4 linked regions of the Rhinolophus ferrumequinum genome follow. The protein of the gene in region 1 purifies or fractionates together with the protein of each later gene. This does not show direct contact. Links are inferred from orthologs where the notes say so. Each region holds a gene or a part of one and is shown on either strand. Other genes may lie near its edges.

What was found.
Region 2: the proteins of ISG15 (region 1) and FLNB purify together in Homo sapiens (affinity purification with mass spectrometry; 3 studies listed by BioGRID and IntAct, with this or other methods). This does not show direct contact. The link is inferred for Rhinolophus ferrumequinum from reciprocal best matches to the Homo sapiens genes ISG15 and FLNB.
Region 3: the proteins of ISG15 (region 1) and HSPB1 purify together in Homo sapiens (affinity purification with mass spectrometry; 3 studies listed by BioGRID, with this or other methods). This does not show direct contact. The link is inferred for Rhinolophus ferrumequinum from reciprocal best matches to the Homo sapiens genes ISG15 and HSPB1.
Region 4: the proteins of ISG15 (region 1) and UBE2N purify together in Homo sapiens (affinity purification with western blotting; 3 studies listed by BioGRID, with this or other methods). This does not show direct contact. The link is inferred for Rhinolophus ferrumequinum from reciprocal best matches to the Homo sapiens genes ISG15 and UBE2N.

Annotation. Positions count from the first base shown.
Region 1 is NC_046292.1:228,206-234,589, forward strand, and holds ISG15 (ubiquitin-like protein ISG15), read left to right. Parts: upstream 1-4,422; 5' UTR 4,423-4,558; coding exon 4,559-4,561; intron 4,562-5,017; coding exon 5,018-5,509; 3' UTR 5,510-5,583; downstream 5,584-6,384.
Region 2 is NC_046300.1:52,667,470-52,675,183, reverse strand, and holds the start of FLNB (filamin-B), read right to left. Parts: upstream 3,463-7,714; 5' UTR 3,325-3,462; coding exon 3,033-3,324; intron 1-3,032. UniProt on the Homo sapiens protein: Connects cell membrane constituents to the actin cytoskeleton. May promote orthogonal branching of actin filaments and links actin filaments to membrane glycoproteins. Anchors various transmembrane proteins to the actin cytoskeleton.
Region 3 is NC_046290.1:92,474,115-92,480,738, reverse strand, and holds HSPB1 (heat shock protein beta-1), read left to right. Parts: upstream 1-4,468; 5' UTR 4,469-4,557; coding exon 4,558-4,927; intron 4,928-5,443; coding exon 5,444-5,507; intron 5,508-5,596; coding exon 5,597-5,786; 3' UTR 5,787-5,908; downstream 5,909-6,624. UniProt on the Homo sapiens protein: Small heat shock protein which functions as a molecular chaperone probably maintaining denatured proteins in a folding-competent state. Plays a role in stress resistance and actin organization.
Region 4 is NC_046293.1:84,615,533-84,623,608, forward strand, and holds the start of UBE2N (ubiquitin-conjugating enzyme E2 N), read right to left. Parts: upstream 3,097-8,076; 5' UTR 3,093-3,096; coding exon 3,063-3,092; intron 1-3,062. Other genes in the region: COPII coat assembly protein SEC16-like, read right to left, coding at 3,097-3,513. UniProt on the Homo sapiens protein: The UBE2V1-UBE2N and UBE2V2-UBE2N heterodimers catalyze the synthesis of non-canonical 'Lys-63'-linked polyubiquitin chains. This type of polyubiquitination does not lead to protein degradation by the proteasome.

The sequences.
Region 1 (6,384 bases):
TATATTAAAAGTTATAGATGCTGGGCCAGCCCGGTGGCTCAGGTGGTTAGAGCTCCATGCTCCTAACTCCGAAGGCTGCCGGTTCAATTCCCACATGGGCCAGTGGGTTCTCAACCTCAAGGATGCCAGTTCAATTCCTCGACTCCTGCAAGGGATGGTGGGCTGTGCCCCCTGCAACTAGCAACAGCAACTGGACCTGGAGCTGAGCTGCGCCCTCCACAACTAAGACTGAAAGGACAACAACTTGAAGCTGAACGGCACCCTCCACAACTAAGATTGAAAGGACAACAACTTGACTTGGAAGAAAGTCCTGGAAGTACACACTGTTCCCCAATAAAGTCCTGTTCCCCTTCCCCAATAAAATCTTTTAAAAAAAATACCAGATGAATGAATTAATAAGCCAATAAAAAAAAAGTCATAGATGCTGTTTTAAAGGTTTCAGGAAGTTTAAGTTAGTTTGTAACTATGCCCCAATATTAACCAAAGGCCCCTTTATAAGTGGCTGTTGTAATTTCACAAATAGGATAGTAAGGTTTATGACTAGAATTTAAATATTTTGTGGCTATGTTATTAGGTGTACACAACCTTCTACTGAGAAGGTGAAAACCTATTGTTATGCGACCTTCTGTGTCTCCAGTAAACTTTGCCTATAAGATTTCTTTATTAATATATTAATAAAATTGTTAAGTGGCCACATCTGCTTCCTTTTGGTTAACATTTGTATAGTATGTTTCTTTCCATCCTCTTTCAAATTTCCTGCATTCTTATATTTCAAATGATTCTTGTCTTCTGTAAGCCACATAAAGTAAGATTATTTTTCACCAGCCTGACAATCCTGGTCATTTAGTCCCCCTGGATTTCGGACCTCTGGCCTGCAGACCTGTGAGGGAATAAATTTCTGTTGTGTTAAGCCACCAGTTTGTGGTAATTTGTTATGACAGCCCCAGAAAACTGACAGGTGAGCCCTAGGTTCTGTCAGTTTGCCTCCTTAATGCCTTTGTATTTAGTTCCTCCTGTCAAAAGCAGAAGGACAATTGGTGACATGGGATGAAGTAACTAACAGAAAGGGAAGATTCTAGTACTAAATGTCAGTATTAAGAAGTCAGGAAAAAAAAAAAAAAAGAAGTCAGGAGAGGGCTGGCCCGGTGGCTCACATGGTTGGAGCTCCGTGCTCCTAACAGCAAGGTCGCCGGTGGGCTGCCGTGTGCTGCCAGGAGCGGCCGGTGGCCACTGTGAGTGGCCAGCGTGAGTGGCTGGCTGGCAGCTGGCGAGAGCTGTTGTGAGCTGCTGTGAGCGGCGGATTGATGACTGACAACCGACTGCCTGAGCTGGGGGGAGCGCAAGGCTCATAATACCAGCAGGGGCCAAGGAGATGTGTCCTACACAACTAGACTGAGAAACAGCAGCTTGAATCCGAGTGCGCGGGGGAAGGCAGAAAAAGGGGGGGGGAAGAAGTCAGGAGACATAGAAACCATGTTTAATAATGGTCATCTGAGGGGGGTTGGAGGGATTTTAACATTCTGCATGTTCTTTTTTATTGTTTCAAAAAATGCTGGTGGTTTTCTTTTTATAATACCAACATTATTTATGCAAGGAATGAGTCAAGATATAAACTTAAAATAATAAAAAGAAGTTAAAAATCAGTTTGGTTTTTTCTTGTGTGTTAACAATTTTGGTGCCCTGTGAGTTTTTTTTGGGGGGGACATGGAATGGTCAAGATTCATATTCAGCGTTTTTTTTTTCCCAACTTGCAAGATGGCGGGTGAAAAAGCTGAGAAGCCGGACACTAAGGAGAAGAAACCTGAAGCCAAGCAGGCTGATGCTGGTGGCAGGGTTAAGAAGGCTAACCTCAAGGCCAAAACGCCTAAGGAGGGGAAGCCCCACTGCAGCCGAAACCCTGTCCTGGTCAGAGGAATCGGCAGCTATTCCCGCTCAGCTATGTATTCCCGAAAGTCCATGGACAAGAGGAAGTATTCATCAGCTAAAATGAGGATTGAAAAGAAAAAGGGGAAGGTTCTTGCTACTGTCACAAAACCAGTTGTTGGCGACAAGAATGGTGACACCTGAGTGGTTAAACTTCGCAAAATGCCTAGATACTGTCCTACTGAAGACATGCCTCGAAAGCCGCTGAGCCATGGCAAGAAGCCCTTCAGTCAGTAGGTGAGAAAACCTGGGGCTAGCATTGCTCCTGGGACCATTCTGGTCATCCTCACTGGGCACCATAGAGGCAAGAGGGTGGTTTTCCTGAAGCACCTGAGCAGTGGCTACGTGTGACTGGACCTCTGTCCCTCGATCGAGTTCCTCTGCGTAGAACACACCAGAAATCTGTCATTGCCACCTCCACCAAAATTGATATCAGTGGTGTGAAAATCCCCAAACATCTCACTGATGCTTACTTCAAGAAGAAGCTGCATAAGCCCAGACACCAGGATCTCCAACACAGAGTAAGAGAAATATGAGATTACAGAGCAGCGCAAAATTGATCAGAAAGCCGTGGACTCGCAAACTCGGCCAAAAGTCAAAGCTGTTCCTCAGCTCCAGGGCTACTTCCATTCTGTGTTTGCTCTCACAAATGGGGTTTATCCTCACAAACTGTTGTCTACATTAATTACGAAGAACCTAATTAAATGCCTGAACTGTTAAAAAAAAAGATTCATATTCAAAACATTTTGTTTTTTTCCACTTTTACTTTTTTATATTAGACTTTCTTTATTTATATCTAACTTATGCCTGTTATGTGCTATTTGTAATAGTAAAAATTGGGTAACAACCTAAATATTCAACAATGTGGGATGGTTAACTAAATTACATTCTACACAGTACTGTAATGGACTCATTATACTAAGGGGAACCATTAAATGGTTGCATTTTATGGAACCATTAAAACAACTAGCACAAAGTATCTATTAATATGGAAAGATGTTTATGATACACTGTTATGAATAAAGCAGGAGTATAAGGGTTTTTCAGTTTTGTTTTTTATTGAGGTGAAATTCATGTAACATACAGGTAACCATCTTAAATTACATAATTGAGTGGCATTTAGTATATTTACGATGCTGGGCAGCCATCACCCCTATCTAGTTCCAAAACATTTTTGACAGCCACAAAGGAGGCCTTATATTCATAAAACAGTCACTTTCCACCCCAACCCTCCCCTTGGCAACCACAATTTTTGGTCTCTGTGGATTCGCCTGTTCTGGACATTTCACATAAATAGAATCATACAGCATGTGGCCTTTTGTGTCTGGCTCCTTTCACTGAGCATAATGTTTTCCAGGTCCAAACATGTCGTAGGGGGTGTCAGGGCTTGGTTCCTTTTTATGGCTGCATAGTATTCCATTGTAAGGTTAGGCTGCATTTTGTTGATGCATCCATCTGTGGATGGATTTGGCTGTTTGTACAGCTTTTAACATTTGTGTATTGTGACCAGTGCTGCTATGAACATCTGTGCACAAATACTTGTTTGAACACCTGCTTTCAATTATTTGGGGTGTATATCTTGGAGTGGAATTGCTGGATCCTATGAAATTCTGTTTTATCTTTTTGAGGGACGACTAGACTGTTTTCCACAGCCATCATACCATTTTACACTCCCACCAGCAGCATGTGAGGACTCCAATTTCTCTACATTCTCATCAACACTTGTTATTGTTGTTCTTTTTTTTTTTTACTACAGTCTTGCTAGTGGGTGTGAGGTGGTGTCTCATTCCGGTTTTGATTTTCATTTTCCTAATGACTAATGATGTTGAGCATCTCTTCATGTTTGTTGGCCATTTGTATATTTCCTATGGAGGTATGTGTATTCAATTCCTTTGCCCAATTTTTGAGTTATATTTTTGTTGTTGAGTTGTAAGAATTCTTTATATACTATGAGTTACTAGACCCTTATCTGATATATGATTTGCAAATATTTTTTCCGATTTTTGGGATAGTCTTTTCACTTTCTCCATAATGTCCATGAGTTTTTTTGTAGAAAAGATACATCCCTTTCATTAAAAAAAAAAAAAAAAAAAAAACAGAAAAAACACCCAAGCTGAACAAATATTGTCCAAAACCAGTGGTAATTATCTCGGGGTAGTTTCGAGTGTCACTATTTTATGTTATTTCCCGAATACCCATGATCGTGCTTTCTAAGTTTACTAATTTTGCAAGTTGGTAAATGGAGAGTGAAACGCTCTAATCATTACTTCACGTTTCTATGACTTTTGTGAATCACATAAAGGACTTGGATATGTAGGGAGTTTCTGAACATACACGCCTGCGGGGGGGAACGGGGGCGGTTTCTATTTAGTATCCCTGGGCTCACCTCCTCCGCGTCTCTTACAGTTTTTCAGATTTGTTTCTGCTGTGGGGCTAGCCTTGGGAAACGGAAACTGAAACCGAAGAGGACTTCAAGGGCCAGTGAGACTGGCTCTCAGACACGGCGCCCCGCCCTCTGACGTGTGTAGCTCATGTTCAGAAAAAGGCTGGGCGGTTAGGGCCGGGAGGAGTTGCGAGCGGAGAGGCAGCAAGCTCATCACTACCTGTGGAGGACCTGGTGCCAGAGCCCACAGCCATGGTGAGGCGGGTTGACAGGTGGGGCAGGTGGGCTGGGCACTCGTCGACTTGTCTCCCCCTCCCCTTGGCAGGACCTGGGGGAGGGACAGAGCACCTACTGTGTGCCAGACCAGTGGAGCTGCAGAGCTCCGCAGTTTCCCAAGTGTGGTGCAGGGACAGGGCTCCCGACGTCAGGGTCTTGGTCTTGGAAGGTGGGTTCTGCCCAGTGGCCAACTCTGAGGTCCCTTGGGGGGCATCTTAGCTGAAGGGAGGCAAAGTGGTGGTCGTGGGCGGCTGGCCGTTCTTCCAGAGAGGACCCCCTTGTGCGTCTCCAGCGCCTGGGGTCCCTCTCTTGGTGGAGAGGACCCAGAAGAGGGAACAGCGTCCTGGAGCCTAGGGGCTTGCCCTGCGGCCAGTACATAGCGTGTAGAGGCCCGAGGACTGGTGCCAGGGTCTCTGAGCTCCGTGTGTTGCACAGATAGGGGAACTGAAGGTGAAGATGCTGAGTGGCAAGGATTTATTGGTGCCCCTGAGGGACTCCATGCTTACAGCGGACCTGAAGCAGCGGATCGCCCAGGAAACTGGCGTGCCTGCCTTCCAGCAACGCCTGATCTCCCAGTCGTCCGGTGCGGAGCTGCAGGACAGGGCTACCCTCATCGGGCAGGGTCTGAGCCCCGGCAGCACGGTCCTGCTGGTGGTGCTGAGCGACGACCCCCTGAGCATTCTGGTGAAGAACGAGAGGGGTCGCAGCAGAGCCTACGAGGTCCAGCGGACGCAGACGGTGGCTGAGCTCAAGCAGCAGGTGCACCAGCAGGAGGGCACGCCTGCCGACCAGTTCTGGCTGAGTTTCCAGGGGAAGCCCATGGAGGACCAGCACCAGCTGGGGGAGTATGACCTCAGGCCCCATTGCACCGTGTTGATGAACCTGCGCCTGCGCGGGGGCGGGACGGGGCCAGAAGGGCCACGCTGAGGTCCCCACCGAAGTTCCCACCCAGTGCTTTAATAAAAATTGATGCCAAGTTAATTGGCTGCCTCTGCGTCTGCCCTCGCCCTACTCCCAGCACTCTGGCATCTGCCAGTTCTCCATTCTGCACCCCTGCTACTGAGCTTGGGGGAGGGGAGGTGGAGGGAGTAGGGCAAGGGGACCCAGGGTCCTTGGGTGGTTACCAGGCTGGGCTACCAAGTAAGAAGCAGCCTGATGGGATCAAAATAGTGAATGCCCACCCTGGAGAAATTGAACATGTGTCCCCACACCTTTGGAAAACTAACTGCTAGAGAAAGAGAAAGAAGCACATATGGAAACCATCCCTGCCCCAGGTGGAGCCGTGGTCAGCCCCTGCACAAATGGTCCCCCTCCAACATCTGGGTCAGCAGACAGCACAGGGGAGGGAAGGTCTGGTCAGGTCCCAAAGGCCACAGGTGAGGTCCCGACGGGGACCAGCACCCCTGGAAGTGGTGAGGAAGTGAGTCCCTAAGACCTGCCTGGGGGTTGTGGGTGCAGTCTCCTGGCCCTCCAGGGCCCCAGCAGCCTGCCCTGTCCAGCCTGCATTGGTCTGGGGAGGGGTGAGGACAGGGCCTTGAACACACATCACCATCGGGGTGAGCTGGGGAACGCAGACTGTTCGGAACAAACACACCAGCCTTCAGGGTTTCATTTAAAGGAGGGACACTGGCCAGCAGGGGAGGGGCACCTGGAACGGAGGTTCCTCCAGCCCTTGTGGAAGAGCTTGTGGGGGGCACCTAATTTGGCACAAGCTACACCTGCTCCACACCAGATGCTTCCTTCTATACCAATTTACCAAAGGAGCCTAGGAGAGCCAGGCTTGAGTCAGCCTTGGAAACAGG
Region 2 (7,714 bases), on another chromosome or scaffold:
TCCCAGATTGTGGAGTAAAACACCGTCCTTTGGGTAGCAGAAAAGCTCCCCCCACAAAAAACAGTGAAGACAGGGCAGCCATTCGCTCAACAGATTCACCTCAACACCAGGTGGGAGATGCCTGAGATTCTGCTCTCCTCCCAACATGACTCTGATCTCAGGGGACCCTCATCACAGTTGAGGGGCTTATTCCTGTCACCTACCTCCTTAAGATCCCTGCTTTGTTCAAGGTCAGAGGCTCAAAGTGTGGGTGTCCAGCCATTATCCCAACATCCCACTTAAAAACAGGGTGACAAGGGCTCTGTGTTCAGGGGCGAGGGACTGTATTTTACTCATTTCTGACACTGGCAGGCAGATGACTGAAGGCTCAATTTCAACGGCTGGGCAGACCCGGGTTCTAGTCACCATTTACTAGCTGGGTGACTTCCAAAAGCTACTTCACTCCTGTTTCCCTGTCTTTAAATACAGATAATACTAACAGCAATCGCAGTGATAACAGCAACCACGATTTTCTAAGCACTTGGCCAGGACTGGGGCAAGCGCTTCAGCCTCCCGGGGATTTGTTAAAGCAGATTGTTACATAGACAAGGAAACCACTCCAGGATTCAAGGTGGTGACCAATGGGGTGACCAATAGAACACATTTAACATGCCTCCACATTGGAGTTAGTGTCACCAACAGCACAACACAGCACAGCATAAACAGTGACTACCTGAACTGAAGTCCCAGCGGGATGTGACTTTTTTCTGAAGAGCCATTACCCAGAACAGCCCCAGAAGCAGAGGGAAGAGGCCTCAGGCATCGCCCCCACAGGAATCCTGGCACTTGGCACATCTCCCTCAGGTCTCCAAGGGCTGGAAAACCGGTTCACTGGAGACCTTTCTGGAGAGCAACTAGGCAGCCAATGACAGGAATCATAATTGTGGTCACGCCCTTTGACCCAGGAATGCCACTTCGGGGAATACAATCCAAGAAATAATTTAAAAGGAGAAAATAAAATAAAACAATGTAACTTGTGGTGGGAAGAGGTCCACAGCAAGAAGCTGCCAAGAGCCCACAGGGAAGGGGGAGGTAAACCTTGGAATGCCAGGATAATAGAGGATACTCTAGCCTGGGTGGGTTCAGGAATGAAAATCATGAGGGTTACAAAACTGTAAGGGGCCAAAGTCTGGAATGAGACCCCCAAGTTTAGGGCACTGATGGGAAGCTGGAAGCAGCTGCAGCCTCTGTAAACAGCTGGTAAATTAGGCAGTCCACGATTTTCTGGTGCTGTGGTTTGGGGTTTTTTTTGTTTGTTTTGTTTTGTTTTTTAAAGATATTTCATGTCATGTTTGGATACTCCTGGTTTACTTTAAGTTTCTTTGTTCACCTAATTAAATAAATACACAGTTTTAAAACAAAGAAGAAGGGATCCAAGTTGAGCCCAGCAAGGCCTTGAGATTCCTCAAAAGGAAGCTGGTTTCTGAAAAGGAAAGAATTCCAGAATTCTGAGGTTCTCCTTCCCGAGTTATAGGAGAAGGGCTCCCAAAAGAAGACGACAGCATGCTGCACAGCTTCCCTTTGCAGAGAAGCCACCCTGCATGGGGAGGCTGGCTGGGCGGAGGCAGCTGCTTGGGCCCAGGAAGCAGCCCTACTTGCTAGGACAGGTGTGGGGGAAGGCGAGGGAGAGGCCAGAGGAGACTCAGCCTAGAGGGAACCCCTTTGCTGCTGGAGAAAAGTCCCAGCAGCCACACCCACCGCCCTTTCTTCCTGCCCTGGGGTCACTATAAGGTCTGGTTTCCTCCGGAAGAGACCCCAGACCCAGGCCTGAGCCAGCTCCTCTCTGGCAAGAGGTTCACCTGGCAGAACCCACACACAATGTAGGCACACCCACGCTGTGTGCACAGACTCTCTCTGCACACATACAAGCTGTGTGTGACAGCGCACACCTTCAGCAGCCTTGTCTGTGACCCTCGTGGAAGCCCTCCACTAGCCTGGGGCATAGTGAGGACCTCACCCTCATTCTTCCTCCCCAGCGCAGAGGGAGAGGAACCCAACACCAACTCCCTCCCTCCTCTCAGGAAGACCCTGGTGTGGGGAGGGCGGAGAGAGGAAGGCAAAGTCTCCTTTAATTGTCACCCATTTCCTTCAATTCTCAGCTGGACCCTCTCTACTTCCATGACCTTGGGCCGGTCATTTAAACTTCTGGAACACTTGTCTGTAAAATGGGTGTAACAAAATCCCAACTCGGGGGATGTGTACAGATTGAGATACCTAGAAGGTTGTTGGCACACAGTGCCCACTAGTTTGGGCTCCTACAAGGCAGCAGTTCCATTACCACCATCACCTCTAAATTCTAACTTCAGCGGTGCGAGCGGGCTCATCCTGCGGCGCCGGGCCAGAACAGAGCTGGGAGCCCCGGGAGCGAGGACACACCCCCGCGGCTCCCCTTCCCACCTCCAGGCCCACACCCATTCCGGAGACGGCGGGGGAGGGTACCAGGTCCTGGTATCCACCTGGGCGGGGAGGCCCCAGGCTCAGAGAACCGTCCCCCCGCCCCGAGTCCCCTCCTCCGGCCTGAGCCAACGCCCATTAGGCGGCCGCCGAGCGCACCAGCCTGGGCGCCGCGAGTCGAGCGCTCCCGGAGCCCTGGACTAGGGTCCCACCGCGAGGACAGCGGACCGGAGATTCCCAATTCCCCAGCTCCCGCAGGGGCACCCCAGGTGCAAAGAAATGCCACAGACCCACTTCTCCCCGTGCGGTCCCAACTCCAGCCTTCCACCCACATAGCTCCAGAGACGCGCTGCTGGGCACACGGTCCGGAGCTATCACTCGAGGTCGCAGCCCAGGGGTTGGCACCTGGGAGGGGATCTAGTTCTCCTATGTCCCCACCTCACCCCCGGGGACCACGTCCCCAGGCCTCAGCGCTCCCACCCAGCCCCCGACTGGACGAGATGGGGGCGCGCGGCAGGCAGCCCCCGCCTTCCCCAGGGGCGCAGGCACGGCCCCGGGACGGTACACCCGCCCGCGCCTGGCTGGGCCAGGGCACTCACCGATGGACACAAGCTTGATGCTCTCACGGTCCAGGAACTCGAGCGCCACCGACACGTTCTCGAGCTGCATCTGGCGGAAGGTGGGCCGCTGGTGGTACTTGCGGTACATGCGCTTCTGGCTGAGCACCTCGAGCAGAGCGATGAGCCGCAACCCATCGCTCAGGTCGGTCTGCAGGTTCCCGATGCGTTTGTTCACGCACTTGAGGTGCTCGTTGCACCAACGCGTGAACGTGTTCTGCTGTATCTTCTTCCACGGCGCGTCCTCCGCCAGGTCCTTCTCGGTTACCGGCATCCTGGCGGCGGGGGGTGCGCAATGCGCAGCGAGCGGCCGGAGACTGGCGTGGGGAGGCCCTAGGACCGAGGGAGTGAGAACCAAAGCGGAGGGGCAGTGGGACTCGAACTCGCTGCTACAGGAGCCGCGACCGCGGTTGTTCTGTGGCCGCCTGTCCCTGACCGCGCGAGGCGTCTGGCCCCGCGCCTGCGCACTGAGCCGACCCGCCCCCGAAGCCCCGCCCCGTCCCAACCCTCCGGCGGGAGTTCCCGGGCCACGGTCGCCCCCTGCAGCCCAAAGAGGCCACTGCTTCCTACTGCCTTCAAGGCGTCCTGGGAATCAGCGCTCTCTGCTCACCGCCTCGGGTAAAGCAAACTAGGGGGGAGACATCCGGCTGCTTAAGGAAAAGGTCACCGGGGCCTGAAGTGAAGGGACGTGCAAAAGTAGGGAACTGGAGAGAATGGGCATGGACGGCAGCGTGGGTCGTGGGAAAGGGGCCTGCAGAGAGGGTACTTCGTCCACCTATAGGATTTTTTGGTTTTTGGTTTTTCTGAGCTCCTGCTGTGTGCCAGGCACTGTATTAGGCACTGGAGGACACCGTGAAGGAAACAGACAGTTTACTATTCATAGTAATTTAACTCATATGAATGATTATATATATTATCAGTCATCGCATTTATTTAGTGTCTGCTGTGTGCCAGGCCCTCCTTGAGCTTGTGAACCAATGGTAAATAAGACAAACTTATTCCTTAACCTTGAGAAGTTCATATACTAATGGGAGAGAAAAGTAAAAATCAACTGTCACAAACAGCTTAGTTGTAGTTATAGAAATGAACAGTAATTTGCATGTATATTAGTTTCCTAATGATGCTGTAACACTTACCAAAACTTTGTCTTAAAAAAAAACCACACACACACACAAATGTATTATCGTGCAGTTCTGTAGCTTAGATGTCCCTCTCAGGTCTCACTAAGCTAAAATCAAGGTTTGGCAGGATGCATTCCTTTCTGGAGGCTCTAGGGAAGAATCCATTTCCTTGCCTTTCCCAGCTTCTAGAAGCTTCCCACATTCCTTGGCTGTGGCTTCTTCCTCTATTCTTCAAAGCCAGTCACATTGGGCTGAGTCTTTCTCACACTGTCATCTTCTGGTTCTCCATGGTCACATCTTCCTCTAATTCTTTTAAGAATCCTTGTGATTACATTGGGCCCAGTTAGTTAATCCAGAATATTTTTAAATCAGTGAGTCGCAATCTTAATCCCATCTACAACCTTAATTCTCCTTTGCCATGTAAATTAATATTTCCGGTTCTGGAAATTAGGATGTGAACATCTTTGGGGACCATTATTCCGCCTACCGATACCATGTAATGAGCACCTACTCTGTACTCATCCAAGTTCTGTGCTAGGTGCTGGGATACAGTGGAGACCCAGGCCAGACCTCTGCTGTCAACAGCTTAGTAATTAGAAGGGTAGCAGCTAGCATTTCCTGAGAACCTGCTCTGCCCCTGTGCCAAGAGCTGGGCTAAGCAGTTTCTTTGCTGTTGGCCCCAAATGACAAGAGTTTAACTGAGGTTAAATGACTTGCTCAGGGTACACAGCACTAACAGGACTGGATTCCAGGCCTGTAGGAGAAGCACAGGATGCCTGGGCTCAAGAAGGGACACCTAACCCAAGGTTGGTGAGGGGAATCAGGCAGGCAGGCTTCCTGGAGGAAGAGGGGCTGTGCAAGATGGAGGTTAAGGGCTTCCAGCCCAGCAGTTAGTTGCCCAGGAGAAGCCAGCGATTTATGATTGTAACATTCTGTAACAGGACATTTGTACACAATGCTGAAGTGCTTTGTTCACAGCGATTACCTCACTCTGGAAACCGCTCAGAACAGCCTGGGGGAGAGAGTGTATTACCTGGCCCTAGCCCTGCCTGGCCCAAGGTAGGGACACAGTAACTATTTGAAGGCTCATTCCCCTCTTTAGTGATTAAGGGAAGAGATTTGCTGGAGGTCAACTAGTAAGGACTAGACAAAGCTCAATTTGAACCTGGATGTAACTCCAAAGTCTGCATAATGTCTAAGGGCCCTCATGCTGTTCCCAGCCTGGGTATTACCTTTGTCTCACTAGAGGCATTGTTGGTAACTTTTGCTTCCCCTATACCCAAGGTTCCTTGTATCTCAGGCTTCCCTCTACCCAAACTCATCCATCAAAACTTATGGGCCAAGTGTATACCTCCCAAAGGGACCTCCTCCTTATTAGGTGAGACTGGAGCTAATGTAATCAACTCAGCTCAATCAGCAGCTGTTAGTGTGCAAAGGTTCCCCTTTCTTGTAAAATATGTCTGCTTTCACCAGGTTTTGACACAAATAACTAAATAAGTTCTGCATATAATATCCAATCCACTTCACTCTGAGCTGAGAAATCCCTGTCTTAGGATGAGTCCTGTGATTCTCTCCAGAGAATTCTTAGGCTTCTTCAATAGGAAGAAACCTAAGAGTTCTCTGGAGAGCAATCTATGGGAGGAGAAGGAGACTCAAAAACCGTGGTGGAGGAGGGTACTCAGTGGCTTCAGAGGTAAGGAGAGGAAGAAGAAATGGTGTTCAGATGGCTCTTTATCAATATTTGATAAAAAATGAGGGCTTAAAACTCAAGATAGGCATTTCTGCAAGGAGCATTTTGGGTGTGAATTCTGGCTGTTCTGGCTTTGTGCCCTTGCACAAATTACCTTTGCAAGCCTCAGTTTTCTCATCTAGGCAATAGTGATAATGGAGATAAGCCAACTCCTAGGGTTATTAGATAATGCAAGCAATACTCCTAGCTGTGTGCCAGGCACACAACAAATGTTCAATAAATCTAGCTGGAAATCGGGCAAAATTAACCGACTTCACAACCAGCCCCTGAAAAAGCTGGAATTAACTGCGTTTTCCCAGACTCCAATCCTTCTCTGTAAGAAGCCATGTCTCCCCTCCATGTCTGTTACCCACAGATATTGACACCACCCTGCCATAGCCCTGAGAGACCCCAGTCAGAATAAACTGACAAAAAAAAAAACAAAAGTAGAGCCGTAACCCCTCCATATCAGCATGGACCTGACAACAGTCGCTGCGCAGACATCCACAAGGGACAGAGTAACTGAATTTGAAGCTAAACATTGGTAGGCAGGTTGAAGCCATGTGAGCCTACTTGTCAAAGATGCACAAATTGCCAAATCAGCCCATCTGAGTAGGATCAGCAAGGGTTCTTGTACTCAAGCAAGTGTGTGTCTATAACAGTTCCCCGGATCCCACCTCCATGCCTTCGCTCAGACACTTCCCTCTGCTCTCATCTCTCTCCTCCACCTTGGGAAAAGCATGTCCATCCTTCAGTCCCCTCACACTCCCAGCTTGTGCAGTCACAGTGCTTGTTTTGTGCTGAAGTTTAGTTACTGTTGCCTGCGATCAGTTGCTGGGGAGAGAGACTCGCCTGTGTCACTTTGCAGGCTATGGTCTGGGTTTAAGACCTAGAGAGCCGGCCCTGTGCAATAGAAATACAATGAGAGCCACATTGTAATTTTAAACTTTCCAGCAACACTTAATAGTTATTAAGTATTATTTAAAAAACAAAAAGAAACAGGCAAAATTAATTATAATAATATAGTTTAGCCAAAAGTAAAGTGACTGACTAACTGTCCCAGCTTGTCCAGGACTAAGGAGTTTCCTGGGATACAGGCCTTTTGTTTTAGTGCTAAAACCAGGAATGTCTCTGGCAAATCAAAATAAGTTGGTCACCTTACCCAATATATCCATTTATATATATGCCAACTTTGAAGTCTGATGTGTATTTCATTCTTACAACATATCACAATTCAGACTCGGCACATTGCCGGTGCTCAGTAGTTGCCTTTGGCGACTGGTGGCTCTGAAATTGGACAGTGCAGGTATTGAAGATATGCTTGATCTTGAAATAAACCAGTTAATAAGTTGGAGACCCATACGCTTTCACCAGGGTCCTGACCTTGGAAATCCCTCATGTGTGAAACCCACCTCCACTCTTCAGACCCGCAGCTCTGTTGGGGTCCCAGGTGAACGAGCATTCTGTAGTTTCTTGGCATCGTGGGGTCCACTGCTATAGTGGCATGTCAGGAGGTGTGGTTATTATCCCCATTTAACAGGTAAGGAAACAGAGGCTGAGAGAAGTAGTGACATGACTAAGGTCACAGAGTGACAGAGACTGGATACTAAGGAAGGGCTAAGAAAGGCAATAGTCCTGAGAAGGAGCAGGGACCTGGGGCTGCCCTGACTCTTTCCTTACCCGGAGCCGACATTAGCAATATACCTCCTGGGAGTTTCTGATAAATGAAAAACTATGTGTCTGTCTCACATTTAGCATGTAAGTATCTGCTGACAGAGCTGACACTGCTGTTATTATCATAGTTATGCTGATGA
Region 3 (6,624 bases), on another chromosome or scaffold:
GACAGGGCTTTCCCGTGTTCTGTTTTCCTTAACTCGTTTCCCTCAGCCCCAGACCCAGGGTAGCGAGTCACAAGGACACACCCCCAGTTTGGGTGTCCCAGCTGGCATCCCCCACCCCCAGCCTCCCTGAGATGCTCTCGGAAGCCCCCTGGCCTCTCACCAGCCTTTCTCAGCTGAGGGTGTATTCAGCAACTCAATCGTAACACCAGACACGTGCCCTTCCTTCTCCAGGCCCCCCCTCCACCTGAGAAAGGCTCTCAGGACATGAGATATGAGGGTGCTTCAGCTACAGGGCCTCCCACCTTCGGGGGTGCCACACCTCCATGTCCTCCCTCAACCCTTCCCTCTACTCACCTTATATACACCCCCTCCGGCAGCACTAGATGGCAGAGCGGGCAGTGTAGGGGACCTGGGGGGTGGTGGGGGAGTGGAGGAGAAACTGTTGATTCATTGTGCTGGAAGGAGTCTTAGGGAACATCCAGTCCAATGGTCTCATTGTACAGATGAAGAAAATGAGTCACGGGAGCCGGCTGCTGGCCAAGGTCAGAGTGAGAGACATGCAGGTCCCCAGGCTCCCAAGCTGACAGATTGTTTCTGATGGACAGAGGAGTGGGAGGGGCTAGAGGATGGGTCTCCTCCCACCTGGCCCTTCCTTGGCACTCCATCCTGTGATGGAGGTGAGGTAATCCCAAGGCCAGCCAGAAGCCAGAGGCCTACGGGGTGGGCAGGCTGGAAATGGGTTTTTGGAATAGATTCCTAGAGGGACAGTGTCTAGACGTTTCCAGAAAGACCTAGTGCCCCCCACCCCCATGCGCTCTAATTACTGCTGCCCACATTTTCAGTTCCCAGCAGGCCCAGCAACCAGCACAATCCGTCAGCTGTCAGGCTTCTCCAGGGAGTTCCTGCAGCTGCCTGAAGACTCTCGAACTTTCTCTGGGGCTGAGCCAGGAAAGGAGGGCCTGGCTCAGCCACAGTTGGCAAAAGCCAACCAAGGGTGTGACTAGTGTGGCCAAGTGCCAGGCTGGGAGGCTGTTCTTGCCAGGCTGGGCTGCAGAGTACCTCAGACTTTGGGGCTAGGGATGAGGGGAGGGGCCCCTGATTAAGGAATCCCAGACCCCGCACTGCCCACTTCCCCTCACCACTCACCCTGCCACCCCCACCCCTGTGGCTTCCGGGAAATCCCTGGGGGTGGAGTCAGTTTCCTCTTCACCCCAGAGAAACTACCCCAGGCAGCTAGAGCAGAAGATTGTCAAAGAACATTTGGGCAGGTGGGCAAGTGTGGGGCTGATATCCAGCCCTTGCTCCTCTTGCCAAGCCCTATGGCTGGTTTCAGGGTGCAACCTCCTAGAGAAAAGGCACCTGGTCTGAAAGGACCCCAGAGAGTCTGGCCCAACCCTCCCTGTCCCGACAGGCAACACCTCACCCTGCACCGAGAAGCCCACAGCCCACAGGCCTCCCTGGACTGCCTGGGAAGTCTCCCCCACCGGACAGAGGATCAGGAGGCCTGAATTCCAATCCTCCCCACCCCCTGACCAGCTTTGCCACCTTGGGCAGTTCTGACCCTCAGTTTTCTCATCTCAGTAATGGGACTCTAATAAGATACCTGGATACGCTAGAAAGTTCATACAACTGCATAATTCTCATTAATCTACGTTTCGATATCCAAAAGTAAAAGCCCTCTTCCATTAATAATGATTAATACTTAATGAGCACCAGGCACTTCATGTGCTTAGCTGTGTTTGGGATTCACCACAACCCTGCAAGATGGGCGCGTTTTTGGCCACGTTTTGCAGCTGGGGACATGTAGGCTCAGAGAGGTCACCAGGCCAGTGAACAGCAGCACCCAGATTCAAGTCCATCCTTGTCTGACCTCAAAACCCAGTTTCTCCCACACCCCACCCCCTCTTACCATGACCCAGAGCCACCCATGTCTCCTTTGTTGTTACTGGCAGGGTGCCCTAGAGTCTCTCGAGAACTGGCCATTTGAAGATGGATGTGAATTCTCTGTTCTGTGTCCCCCACCTGCCGTGGGCAGAGGGATGGAGTTATTGCACAACTTCCCTGGCTGGGGCAGTAGGATGGATCCTACCTGCCTGGTGTCAGGCAAGATGAAGGGAGCTTGTGCCTACAAGCCCTGGCAACCAGCCAGGCAGCCTCCACCCAGAGCGTGGCTGGGCCTGGCAGGGCCACACTTGAAAGCATCCATGACCACACCTGCCAGCTCCTTCTAGGGTGGGGCACCTGCACTCCAGTCTGAGCCAAGGTGGGCAGGCAGGGGCGGTGAGGGCCCTCCCGGCTCCTGAGCTCATCCTGACTTTATAGAGGTGAGGACGGGTGGGGCTGGGAACGCCAGGGACCAAAGACCTGGGGCTTTCTGAAGCTGAGACCCTTGGGGGGCAGCCAGGAGCTCCCAGCTGAGACCTACTGATCCAGCAAGGGAAATGGGGCAGAGGTGTCTGCCCCAGGGGTGTCTGCCTCCCACCCCTGGCCCAAGAGAACCCCAGGTGCTCAGAGGCTTTTCCAGAGGTGACATCAGATTCATGGTCCAGCCCCAACTCTTTCCTCATGGGGTGCAGGTGAGTAAGAAGGAAGGCATCCAGGAGCTCTCTCTTGAAGAGGAAATTGAGGCTCAGAGAGGGCATGAGACTTGTTGTTACCCCCAATTCATTGAGGTGAGCGGCCTGGGGTCTAGCTTCCAGCCCCTCAGATGTCCTGAGCAGGGCAAAGCCCCTGCAGCACTGACAGAGTATAGCCTCAGCCCCAGAAAGGGGCAGCAACATGGTGGGTCTCAGAAAGAGAGAAGGCAGGGAAACACCAAGATAGGAGCCCCTGAGGGTAAGAGCCCCAAGCACTAGAGAGGCAAGAGGCTTACTGTGCTGCTGTCTTACAGGAGATAGTGGCCAGTCACTCTGAACCTGTTTCTTCATCTAAAAAGGAAGGATAATAGGACATGGCAGCAGAAGGAAGGCTGGACCAGGATCATGCCTGTGAAGGAAGGAAAGAGGGGACGTTAGGATTATGGCAGGAGCTTAGGGACACCACCCTCTCCAAGCAATGGAAGATGGAGACCTGGATCCCATAGAGGGTCAGATAGGAGGGGTCAAGGGGCAGGCCCCAGGCTCTAAGCAAGAGTGAGCAAACTGTACCACCTGGAGCCCCCTCTCCCTTTGTGCTGTGGGAATAAAAAACAAAAGGGGTTTTGAGATCATGATCTGCAAAAAGGAAAACTGAGGCCTAGAGAAAGGACGGGCCTTGCCCCAAATCACACAGTAAGTCAGTGACAAACCTCAGAGTAGATTCAAGGTTGCTGCATTTCAGGCTTCCTGTCCTCAAGGAAAAATAGATATAATGCGGAGACTGACAATAACCTTCCTCCTCACCTCTTCTCAGCACTAGGACCCAGGTTCTCATCTGGGCCAGCCCCACTGCTGAGGGCAGGGGGGAAATGGCCAGACCCACACATACCACGTTTCCCGGAAAATAAGACCTAGCCGGACCATCAGCTCTCATGCGTCCTTTGGAGCAAAAATTAATATAAGACCCAGTCTTATTTTAATATAATATAAGACCGGGTCTTAATATAAGACCAGGAATATAATAATATATAACATAACATAATGTAATATTAAAACAATACCGGGTCTTATATTAATTTTTGCTCCAAAAGAAGCATTAGAGCTGATGGTCCAGCTAGGTCTTATTTTCGGGAAAACACGGTACCACCGCCTCTGCAATAGGGATGGGTACACATCCTCCTTCTTCCTCCCTCTCTTCAATTCCAGGTAGATAATAACAATAATTATCATGTACCAGGCCCTGGGCTAAAGTCTATGCTTGCATTAAGTCACGTAATCCTCACACCAGCCCAATGGTGTAAGCATTATTATCATCATCCATTTTCTCCATTTTCTAGATGGGGAAACTGAGGCACACAGAGTCTAACTTGCACAAGTTCTTCCAAGTAGTGGCAGAACCAGGATGTGAACCCAGGCAGTCTGGCTCCAGAGCCTACACACCTAAAACCACACCAGACTGCTTCTTAAAACGTAATTTTACAGGGAGTGCCCTTCTAGTTGCTAGATGAGATGCTGCCCCATTCCTGAAGTGCTTAATTAAAGCCACTTAGATCTTAAAAAAAAAAAAAAAAGACATTATTTTACAGACACCCTGTGGTTCAAATGCTGGCTCTGCCACTTCCTAGTTGTGTGGCCTCTCTCAGCTTTGTCCTCCCCGACACAAGAATGGGACTCTCCTCAGCCCGCGGGCCAGCGCTTTAGCGCCCAGGCCTGTCGGGCAGTGGTCACTGTATCAATATCGGTGCTCCAGTCATTTGTTTGGTTATTTGAACGAGAAGGTTCCAGACGTGGGAAGTCTTCCTTGCCCCGCCCCTGCGCCGGTATGCAGGGGGAGGGGCTGCCCCCAACCCGTCATTGCCATTAATAGAGACCTGAAGCACCGCCTGCTAAAAATACCCGGCTGGAGCCCCATAAAAGCGCTTCTTGCTCCAACGCCCGGCACTTCTCCGAGCCTCAGCCAGACGCGCAGATCCGATCCAGCATGGCAGAGCGTCGCGTGCCCTTCTCGCTCCTGCGGAGCTCAAGCTGGGACCCTTTCCGCGACTGGTTCCCGCCCCACAGCCGCCTTTTCGATCAGTCGTTCGGGATGCCGCGGTTGCCCGACGAGGTGTCGCTCTGGTTGGGCCACAGCGGCTGGCCGGGCTACGTGCGCCCGGTGCTGCCGGCCGCCGCCGAGGGCTCCTCGGCAGTGGCCACGCCCGCCTACAGCCGCGCGCTCAGCCAGCAGCTCAGCAGCGGCGTCTCGGAGATTCGGCACACGGCCGACCGCTGGCGCGTGTCCCTGGACGTCAACCACTTCGCCCCCGAGGAGCTGACTGTCAAGACCAAGGACGGTGTGGTGGAAATCACCGGTGAGCCCCCGGCCCTTCGGGCACGGAGCGGGCGGGGCGGGGCGGGGCGGGGAGCGGAGCCCGAGCAGCGAAAAATTAAGCTTCCTGGCCCTGCCCCAGGCCTGTGTCCCCTTCTCTAGAATTGAGTTAGCGGATAGCTCCCAAGGGACCTTTCGGTCCTAAAAACGCCCCATTAAGGGAAGAAATGCCCCCCTTTCAGTTAAGACCCCCAACCTACAGATGACCAAGTTTCCCTGCGCTCACCCACTCCCGGGCCTGCGGTGGCTGTGAAGAGAATTTTGTCTTCCAGCGCTGTCCCCGCCCCTACACCGGGTCCGTGGAGGGGGCGTGTGCGCACGCCCGGCACTGCATCCACCACCCCCAAGTCCTAAACAGAACTCCAGAAGCTTCTGAGGACAGCCCCCGACCCCAAATCCCTCCACCAGTCGGGATCTGCCTTGAGTCCAGGCCGCCAGGTGGGGCGTGTTGGGCTGCGGGCTGGCCCCTCCCTCACCTCTGACCGCCTTCCCTCCGCAGGCAAGCACGAAGAAAGACAGGATGAGCATGGCTACATTTCACGGTGCTTCACTCGAAAGTACACGTGAGTCCTGCGCCCAGTGGTGGGGAGTGGGAGGGGGCCACAGTGACTTACCTGTGTGTGACTCTGGTCCTCCCTCTCTGCATGTCCAGGCTGCCCCCTGGTGTGGACCCCACCCTGGTCTCCTCCTCCCTGTCCCCTGAGGGCACGCTCACCGTGGAGGCCCCGATGCCCAAGCCAGCCACCCAGTCAGCAGAGATCACCATTCCGGTCACCTTCGAGGCTCGTGCCCAGATCGGGGGTCCAGAAGCTGGAAAGTCGGAGCAGCCTGGAGCCAAGTAAAGGCCTTGGCCCTGCTTCGAACCCCCCATTAGCCATCACTGACCATCCCTACCTGTCAGCCTGAATGCTCTTTTGATACCTTTATGTTGTTTTTCTCAAATAAAGTTCAAAGCAACTGCCTGCCACTGCCTCAGACCCTCGTGTGTGTAGAGGCCTAGGGGTTGGCACCGTCGCCTGGCTGACATTCCTTGCTGTGTGCAAAGCCTCATGCTGGGCCCTGTGGGTACAATGATGCCCATTACAGGGTATAGCCCTGCCCTCTGGCCCCTTGTCCATTAAGATAGAAGTAATGATTGTAACCAGCAATTAAAACTCCAAGGGGCAGGTGTGGGAGCTGGGGAAACCAGGAGAGGTTCCTGGCCCAGGACTGGGTACTCAGGGATTCCTAGGCTGGGGTCAGGTGAAGGGGGACAGAGCAGGGCCAGGGGAGGGGAGCTGCCTGGGAGCTCAGGGTCCCTTACTGACCTCGTCATTACTTTATTGTCCTCCCAGAGAGGGACAGGACCATGTAGATGGTATGGGAGGTATGGCAACTTCAGATGACTAAGCGGGGTGGGCCTCGTCAAAGGACCCATCCCCTGATGCCCATGCAGGATGGGCCTGGGCTCTCAGGCTGAGGATGCCCTGCAGACAGTGAGGGCAGAATGGCCTAGGTTTTGGTGGAAGAGAGGCAAAGACCCTGACGACGACGACGGTTGTCGCTCCAAGAGGGCCTGCCTTAACTGGCCCAGGCCGGAGCAGTCACACCTACCTTGGCCCTCTCCTTTGTCTGCCCTCACCCAAGCCACCCTCCTCATACCCAGCCCAAGGAGGGTTCAGAGAGAACTGGGGAGGGAGA
Region 4 (8,076 bases), on another chromosome or scaffold:
AGAGACAAAAAGTAAATAACACAACTTGTAGTCGTGGTTAAGTGGTAGACAGAATAAAGGGGAATATAGGGATAAAGAGAAACCATGGGGTAGATGAGAGGGAAACTGTGTTTTAGGATCCTTAAGGTAAAGTTTTCAGGGGATATGACATGTGAGCCAAGAACTGAGTAATATCACAAAGCAATGCAATAAACAGGGTGAAAGCTCGGTGACCGGAACAAGCAAGGTTCCAGTGTTTAGCGTACAGCAAAGCAATAGGGTGGCTGCTGCAGCGGAGCAACCCAAGGAGAGAAATGCAGGGGATAACCTGAGGTAGGGAGATCCCAGATGCAAGAAGGACTTGTAGCTAGGGAGGGGAAAAAAGTCAAGATTTTATTCGAAGTGTGATGGAGAACCTTTGTAGAGTTCTAAGCAAAGGAAAGACATGCCCTATTTTTTAAAAAAGTAACACCAGCTGCAGCTTAAAAGGAAACTAATACAGTAGCTCAGGCAACAAAGGAGGGAACAAAACAATGATTTAAGAGAGATGGTGAAATGTATCTGCTTTAGGATACATTTTGAAAGTAGAGTCTAGAAAATTTGCTACTGGATTGAAATGGGAATCCAACTGGATGAAGAGTAGTTCAAAAAATCATCTTTTATTTGTATAATTGTTACAGGTCTCAAGGTATTTTTACACATAGATTATTTCATTTCATAATAACAAGAGGCTGGGGAATGTCACAGTGAGCCAAGGTCCAAGTTCTTCCTCTTGCCAGTTTTAAGACCCTAGGAAAGTCATTTCAATGGGTTTCTAGACTATAAAACATATTGTCTACTTCTCAGGATTCCTGCAGGTATCAAATGGTTGAAGAATTTTGCAAATGTGAATAATGACTATTCTGAGATAGCACCTTATTAATAAATATCCAGTGAAAGACAGTACATTCCTGTCATTCAGGACAGTAGAGCAACCACCACCACGATATTCCACACAGAACTTCGTGCTGAGATTGTCAGAGAAGAGGCAAACTTTTAGTTCCAATTATGATATTAAAAAAATAGATATTTTCACTGATTATGGAAAAAACCTACATAATACAAGCATGGGCACTAGAAAAAACACTTTTATCTTTTAATTCTTCCTAGGAATTGGAGAAAACAATTCTTTTAAGCTATAATAGTATTAACCACCTACCTGTTTACAAGGTAAAATCCAAAATCACAGCAACTTTCATTAGAAAGACGCTATCAACAGGATACTGTAAAATTAAAACTGAGTTATCACTTTCTTGGTTTAAATAGTAAAATGTAAATACCTAGTGTAAATTACTGTGTGCGAATTAACTGAATTATGAGGACTTCAACTAACTGCCTTAAATCATTTTTGTAAGTTTATGAACAAGGTTCCACGGAACTAATTTTCATCCAAGGCTTTCATGTTACTGCAGAATATCTGCAGAATCAAGCAAAAATGGAAAAATATTTGTTAAGTCTTTAGTTCAGTATGTATTTTGGAGATTATCTTGAATGTCAATTTGTATTATGTACTTAGTCTATAACCTAAATAACAGTAAATAATAATTCAAGGATATTTATTGTACAGCTCTTCCACCCCTCATTTTCAACGAGAGCCTCAATAAACCTGACCATTGGAGCCATGTGACTGCATTATAACTAAAACCACACTGTAAGGACCTTCCAATGCATACAGCAATTAAACTGCCTTGGACAGAGTCCGAGACAAATCCATAAAACAGTACAACAAATTTTGCACTATGAAGGTTCACATTATTACACTCCAGCACACAATGACAATTCGTCCTACTCTGACTTCTAAGAATTTCTACCTTATAAAACGTCCTATTGTTCTCTAAATCAAGCATCTTTAGATCAGAGACACCCCCCATCTCATATATTTAATTGCGATTGCACAAAGCACTACATTTCATCATCTTTCAACAGGTCTTTCACTTAGCACGCATCTCGCCCAAACTTTTAAAACAAACTACATTAAATACATGTTCACCAGGTTATATCAAGCAAAATGATGCTGCAAGTTAGTCACCTGAACTCGCATATTGAGCAACAGAGATGCATCTCACTTCCTTCATTTAAACTGACCAAAAATGTCAAGGTTTTGTTTTGTAAATTGCAAGACACATTTCACATCTGAGGACTTGATATTATATAAAGACTTTACAAAACAAAGATGCCAAATTTTTCATGATTCCATACATGCTTGTCAAAGTATAGCATTAATAGAGTCAAAGAACGGTCTAATAATTAAAGGGCACAAAATCGAAAAGCAAAAGATTTCACAAGGACCCCTATACTTGCGCCCCCCACCCCAAGTCTTGTGTTAAACTATTTCCTCTGAACAGAAACAGCTCTTCAGTTTGCAAACCAGAGTAAAATCACTTCGCAGAGATAACGAGTGGAAACATATTTAAAGGAGAGGAAATCGCCGAAGCTGGAACAATCGGGTGCGGAGCCCCCAGGTCCCCGGACCCCGACTGCCAGGAGCGAGCATGTGCCGCCGGCGGCAGCACGCGCGGCCCTCCCGGGGCACAGGGCCTGGCCCGGCCTCACCCTCCCGGTTCATTCATTCTGAACCTGGGGCTGCCGCACCCCTGCGCTTCCTCACGGGCCGAGTGGGGGATCCGACACCAAGAGGCCGTGTCTGGCCACAACCTCCGCCTAAAGTCCGGGCCCCGCCGCGATTCCCGCGCGCCCGCGGCCTCTGTTCGGGGGTGGTCCGAGAGACCGCGGAGGCCCGCACCCCAGACCAGAACCCCGCAACCCCACCCTCCACCAGGGCGCAGGCCAGGTTGAACCCATTCGTAGGGGGCCGCCTGGAAGCCCCGGGTCCCCGCCGCAGGGCTGTCTCACCGCGGCCGGAAGTCTCCCCGGCGCCCCCTCCCCAGCGCCCGACTTCCCTCGCCGCCGCGGTCAGACCCTCTCCGTGCAGCCTCGGGCCTCCCAACGCGGGCCGCGGGCCGGAGGAAGCGAGCGGCCACGCCGCCCGATCCGCCAAGAAGGAAAGACCAGAGCAGGGAGCAGAGGCGGGCGTGGGAGGTTACCTTGATGATCCTACGGGGCAGCCCGGCCATCTTGTCAGATCCCGAGTTCGGCCTCTGGTCTCGACTCCGGCTCCGCTTGCCTCACGCACGAGTGGAAGTCCCGGGCTCCACTTCCGGGGGACGTTGCCGCGCCCGCCGCCGCCGCCGCCGCCACCAGCGTGGCCCCTTGGGAAATGTAGTCCCTGCTCGGCCGCGGGCCGGCTTCCCTCGGACCTGGCCCCCCCACACACACCCCGCCCCAGCCCCGGCCTGGAGGTGGCGGAAGTGACGCGCAGCGGCGGGGCAGGGACTTGGGGGAGGTGGCGTGGGGCGGCGCCGATCTCCGGCGCTGGTGAGTGATCCTGCCGCGCGACGGTGGGACTGGGCTGCCCACACCCGGCGGGCCTGATGTCCACGGCCACGCCCGCGCCGGTGGAGACGTAACAGAGGCCCGGCTGCCGATGTAGCTCATTCATTCATTCGTTCATTTCTTCATTCTACGTTCCTGCCTTGTGCGCTGGCGCAGCGGTGGACGACTGCGATCTAGTTGATCCGCTTGCTCCTGCTCAAAGGGAGGGGAAGACCAAACCTCGGTGGCAAAGCTCCCAACTGTGATAACTTGGGTCTCGCAAGTTATCCAGGGAAACTCTAGCCAGAGAGTTTTGATGTTTAAATGTCGCCTAAATCGGGCCTATTTGACACACTCCTTACACTCGGAGAAGGCTAAAAGAAGAGTTTGCAGATAGCTGAGGGAGAAACCAGGGAAGAATGGTTTCTGAACGCCTGGACCTGGTGGTTGTGACGCAGAGTAACTAGCTAGCTCGAGGAAAGTCCAAAGAGAGGATTAGAGAGCCCAGCGTAATCCCTGACAAGGATTACCCACAAAGTGCAGGGATCCTAAATGAAGATTAGAGTGGCGGTGCCTGAAAATGAGATTGTTGGGGAAGCGTTTTGCGACAGCCTGATGACTGCTTTGCTATGCGATGGTTTTTTGCAGATACTATTTTACTTCATCTTCACGGCAATCTTGAGAGGGAGACCCAGAGACGTTAACTAACTTTTTACAAGGTTATGCAGGAGAAAGTGGAGCTGTTAACTCCCAGGCAGGCCTGCCAAAACATGGACCCCTTAACTGCTTAACTACGGTGTTTCCTTAGCACCCGAATACAGACATAGTGAATGAATGAAGATGTGCCAGGTGCTATGTTAGGGGATGAGAATACAATGAAACTGACCCTGCCTTGCAGGAATTTAAGAGTCCGGTGGAGAAGAAAGACATGTAAACAATTAATTACAATCCAGTGTGTTAAGGGCTATACCAGAGATTCTTCCAAGGTGCTGTTTGAGCGCAGAGAGGCATTAATTGTTTGAGAAATCAGAGAAGGCTTCACAGAGGAGAAGGGGAATCCTAAAGAATGAGGTCAGAATCTAACTGACGTGGTCGGGTAGAGCATGCCAGGCATGGGAAATAGCTTGTGAAATGGCATTGAGCTATAAGGAAAAAACAGTGCATTAAATAAAGAACATGGATGCAAGAAACTTGTAAGAATAATAAGAGAAAACATTATGTGCGGGGCACAACGCTAAATGGTGACATGGATTATCTCAATCATAAAGCGTGTAAGGTAGGCTTTCCTATTACTAGCGCTCTTTAGATGAGAAATGAAGCTTCAGAGGGAATAATGAGAACTTAAAATAACCAGAAGTCTGAAGCGAGCGGTTCTGTGATTAAAAGAATCTGAGAAAATAAATAACGCTGGACAAGGAAACTTTCAGAATATTCTAGAGAGGGCCCAGGAGAATTCACCCTGGTAGGAAGACTGGCAGAGTGAATATTGGGTTAGAAGTGTGCTCTTGCAGTTATCTATTTTTGCCTAACAAACCAACTCAAACTTAGTGCTAAAAATGACAACCATCATTTATTTAGCTCTTGAATATGCAATTTGGCCAGGGAAGGCTCATCTCTGCTCCATGCTACATCAGTGTGGGCAGTCTTACTGCGGCCAGATCCACTTCCAAGGAGGCTCATAGCTGCCAAGTTGGTGCTGGCTGTTAGTTCCTCTCCAAGTGGGTCTCTCCTTGGGGCAGATGGGGCTTCCTCACTGCGTGGTGGCTGAGTTCCGAGAGTGAGTGTTCTAGCTAGCAACAGCAGAAGCAGAAGCTAAATCATCTTTTTTGGCCTAGCCTTGGAAGTCTCATAGCATCACTCCCACCATAATCTGTTGGTCAACTAAGTCACAAAAGTCCACCCAGTTTCAAAGGTACAGGACATGGACTCCACCTCTTGGGGAGTGGCAAGAGTCTAGAAACTGTCAGTGTGTGTGCGTGTGTGATGGGAGATATGGTTGTGGCCAACTTTGGAAAACAAACTGTTGTTACAGGTACGACATTTGTCAGTGTATGCTTACAAACCACCTGCTTGAGAGTCACCTGCCTATGATTCTGAGTGCTGGTTGAAATAAGCATTGCCAGCTCCCTCCCTCCAGAAATTCTAATTCTCTAGGTCAATGCTGAGGCTTGGGTATCTGCATTTAAACATTGTGAGTAATTTTGGTGGGTCCTAAAATTTGAGAACAAAAGATTTTGAATAAAGAAGAACAAAATGTATAAACAAAAAATGTTGCCATCTGCCTTCTTCTTGCTATTCTCTATCAGAATGGATAGTGAGTATCATACAGATTAAGAGTGTGGGGTGGCCAGTTGGCTCAGTTGGTTAGAGCCCCAGTGCTCATAACACCAATGTCGCTGGTTCGATTCCCACATGGGCCAGTGAGCTGCACCCTCCACAACTAGATTGAAAACAACTTGACTTGGAGCTGATGGGTCCTGGAAAAACACACTGTTCTCCAATATTCCCCAATAAAAAATAAAAAAAAAAAAAAAAGACTGTGGGGTTTGGAGCCCCAGGCCAGATCTGAAATTTGCCCATCCTTTGTTTTCTTCACCTATAAAATATACTTACTTTATTGTGATTGTTGTGAAGTTTCAATTATACATGTAGCTTAGAAGATGACGTAGCACTTAGCAAAGGCTATTATTTTTGTAATCTTGACAGAACCAGATATAGTTTTCCTTAGAAAACCAGATTTTTAAAACTTGACAGTATTCCCATTCATTTTTCCTCCTTAGGAGCAGCTCACACTATACTCATCAGGAAAACAAAATCTGAACTTCTGATTCATGAAAGTCTTGTAGAACAGGATATATTCTAGAAGGACAAGTTGCCACAGGGCTGAGATGACGTTTATTCGCAATTTAGAAAAGCTGGTTAAGAATCCTCATTACGATACCCATGAAATACAGACCAAATAAGGATATCCACAAAACTAATTGAATCGATTTCTTCAGGGGAGGGTTGCTGGGCGGGAGAACAGGTAAAAGGAAGATTTTTCACTCTATAGTCTTGTACCTTCTGGATTTTGAACCTATTCAAAATGTAAAATAAGAATCCAACTTACTAATGTCAACATTCTAAGAGGTATTCAGAGTTCTTTCAACACATCAAGAATGATATTATACACTCAAAACTCAGCCAAAAGATGCTGGTTCATGGTGTTGAATAAATTATAGTGACCATATAGATTCACTAAGCTGAACAGTGTGAGGCAGAACTCAGCTAATCAGTCTTCTTCAGCTCTTCATCAGGCCTCGCTCTCAGCCATGTTTCTTTCAGTCTCTCCTCCTGGACTCATAGTACAAGGTGGCTTTTAATTATGATATAGGGAAAGAGAAAGCAAGAAAGCTGCATTGGAGGCATTACAGGAGTCCTGTTCTATGCGACTCTCTTATTGCTCAGAACATTATTTTACTGCCTCCTGTTACTTCTCCACCTCTTACCCCCTAATATTCCGGGTTTGCTACTTTGGCCCTATAATAACAGATGCAAAAGTGCTATTTACCCTGCAGATAATATCTTAGGACATTAATACTTGAGCTCCTCAGAGTCATGGATCTCTTCCATCTCAGTTGTCACTGTATCCCTGGAGCTTGAGTGCAGGGCCTGCTCCCAAAAAATAGCTGTCAAGGGAATGAATCAACGACTGCAGGCTGAAAATAAACGCCTGTTTGAGAATGGCTGACATTGACTCATGATCCTTACGTAAATGATTACAGAAAGCACAGGATCTTTATATTCATCCCTAAACTTTTCAACTTGAATTCCTGGAGGATAACAGAGCTGTTTTTCACAGACTGTCTCACGCTTGGCAGAGACAACACAGAGTTGATCAATTTGGAAAATGGTAGATCAGTCACCTTTAATAGAAGCCCTGTTCAATTCATGAGCAATAGCGATCAGGCAGAAGTATTTGTTTGCAAGTACTCTTGTTTCTTGCAGCATAGGAAAACTGTTTCGTGGGCGATCAAGACAAGTATCTGTGAGAAAAGGGTTCATGAACACTGACTCAGGGAGGAAATAGGTGGAGGAGGAAGAAAACATTGCACATTGATTTTTTAAAAAAGCAAGGAACGCCTGCTGCCTCATATTTGTGACTTCAATGTAAACATCTGAGTACTTACAGTCTGTTACAGATCGCCAGCCTGTACACAGGATCAGAGCTGGGTCATCCAGGGTCATACCGGTAGGAGCTCTGTCTCGAGGTGGAAGGCTTGGAGAAAGATGAGATCCGGAAGAGTCAGAGTAATCAGGCTTACCTTGGTTTAGTGCTTTATGCTTTGCAAAGCACTTTTGAATCTTAGCTTACCCACGGAGCCTATAAGTGCCACTGGAGGCATTCTGCAGAGGCCATCATTGATTCCAAAATGTTTTTACAAAAGTAGATGGAAGGGGTATTTCTTTCTCTGGGCCAGTTCCCAGTGGTAACAGGATTCCAGAGGGTAGGACTCAAGACATTTGGCCAGAAGCCTGACTGGAACAGGAACTCTGAAAGCAAGGCTCATTTCCCAGCCTCTGTGGGCCACCCTTTCAGGTTCCCAAGAGAACTGTTGGCATTCCATATGCTTGGGCTGCAGTAGCTGCATAACTCCCCCTGTGGCTGCATACTCAACCTATCCATCCTGAACTGTTCCCCATTTC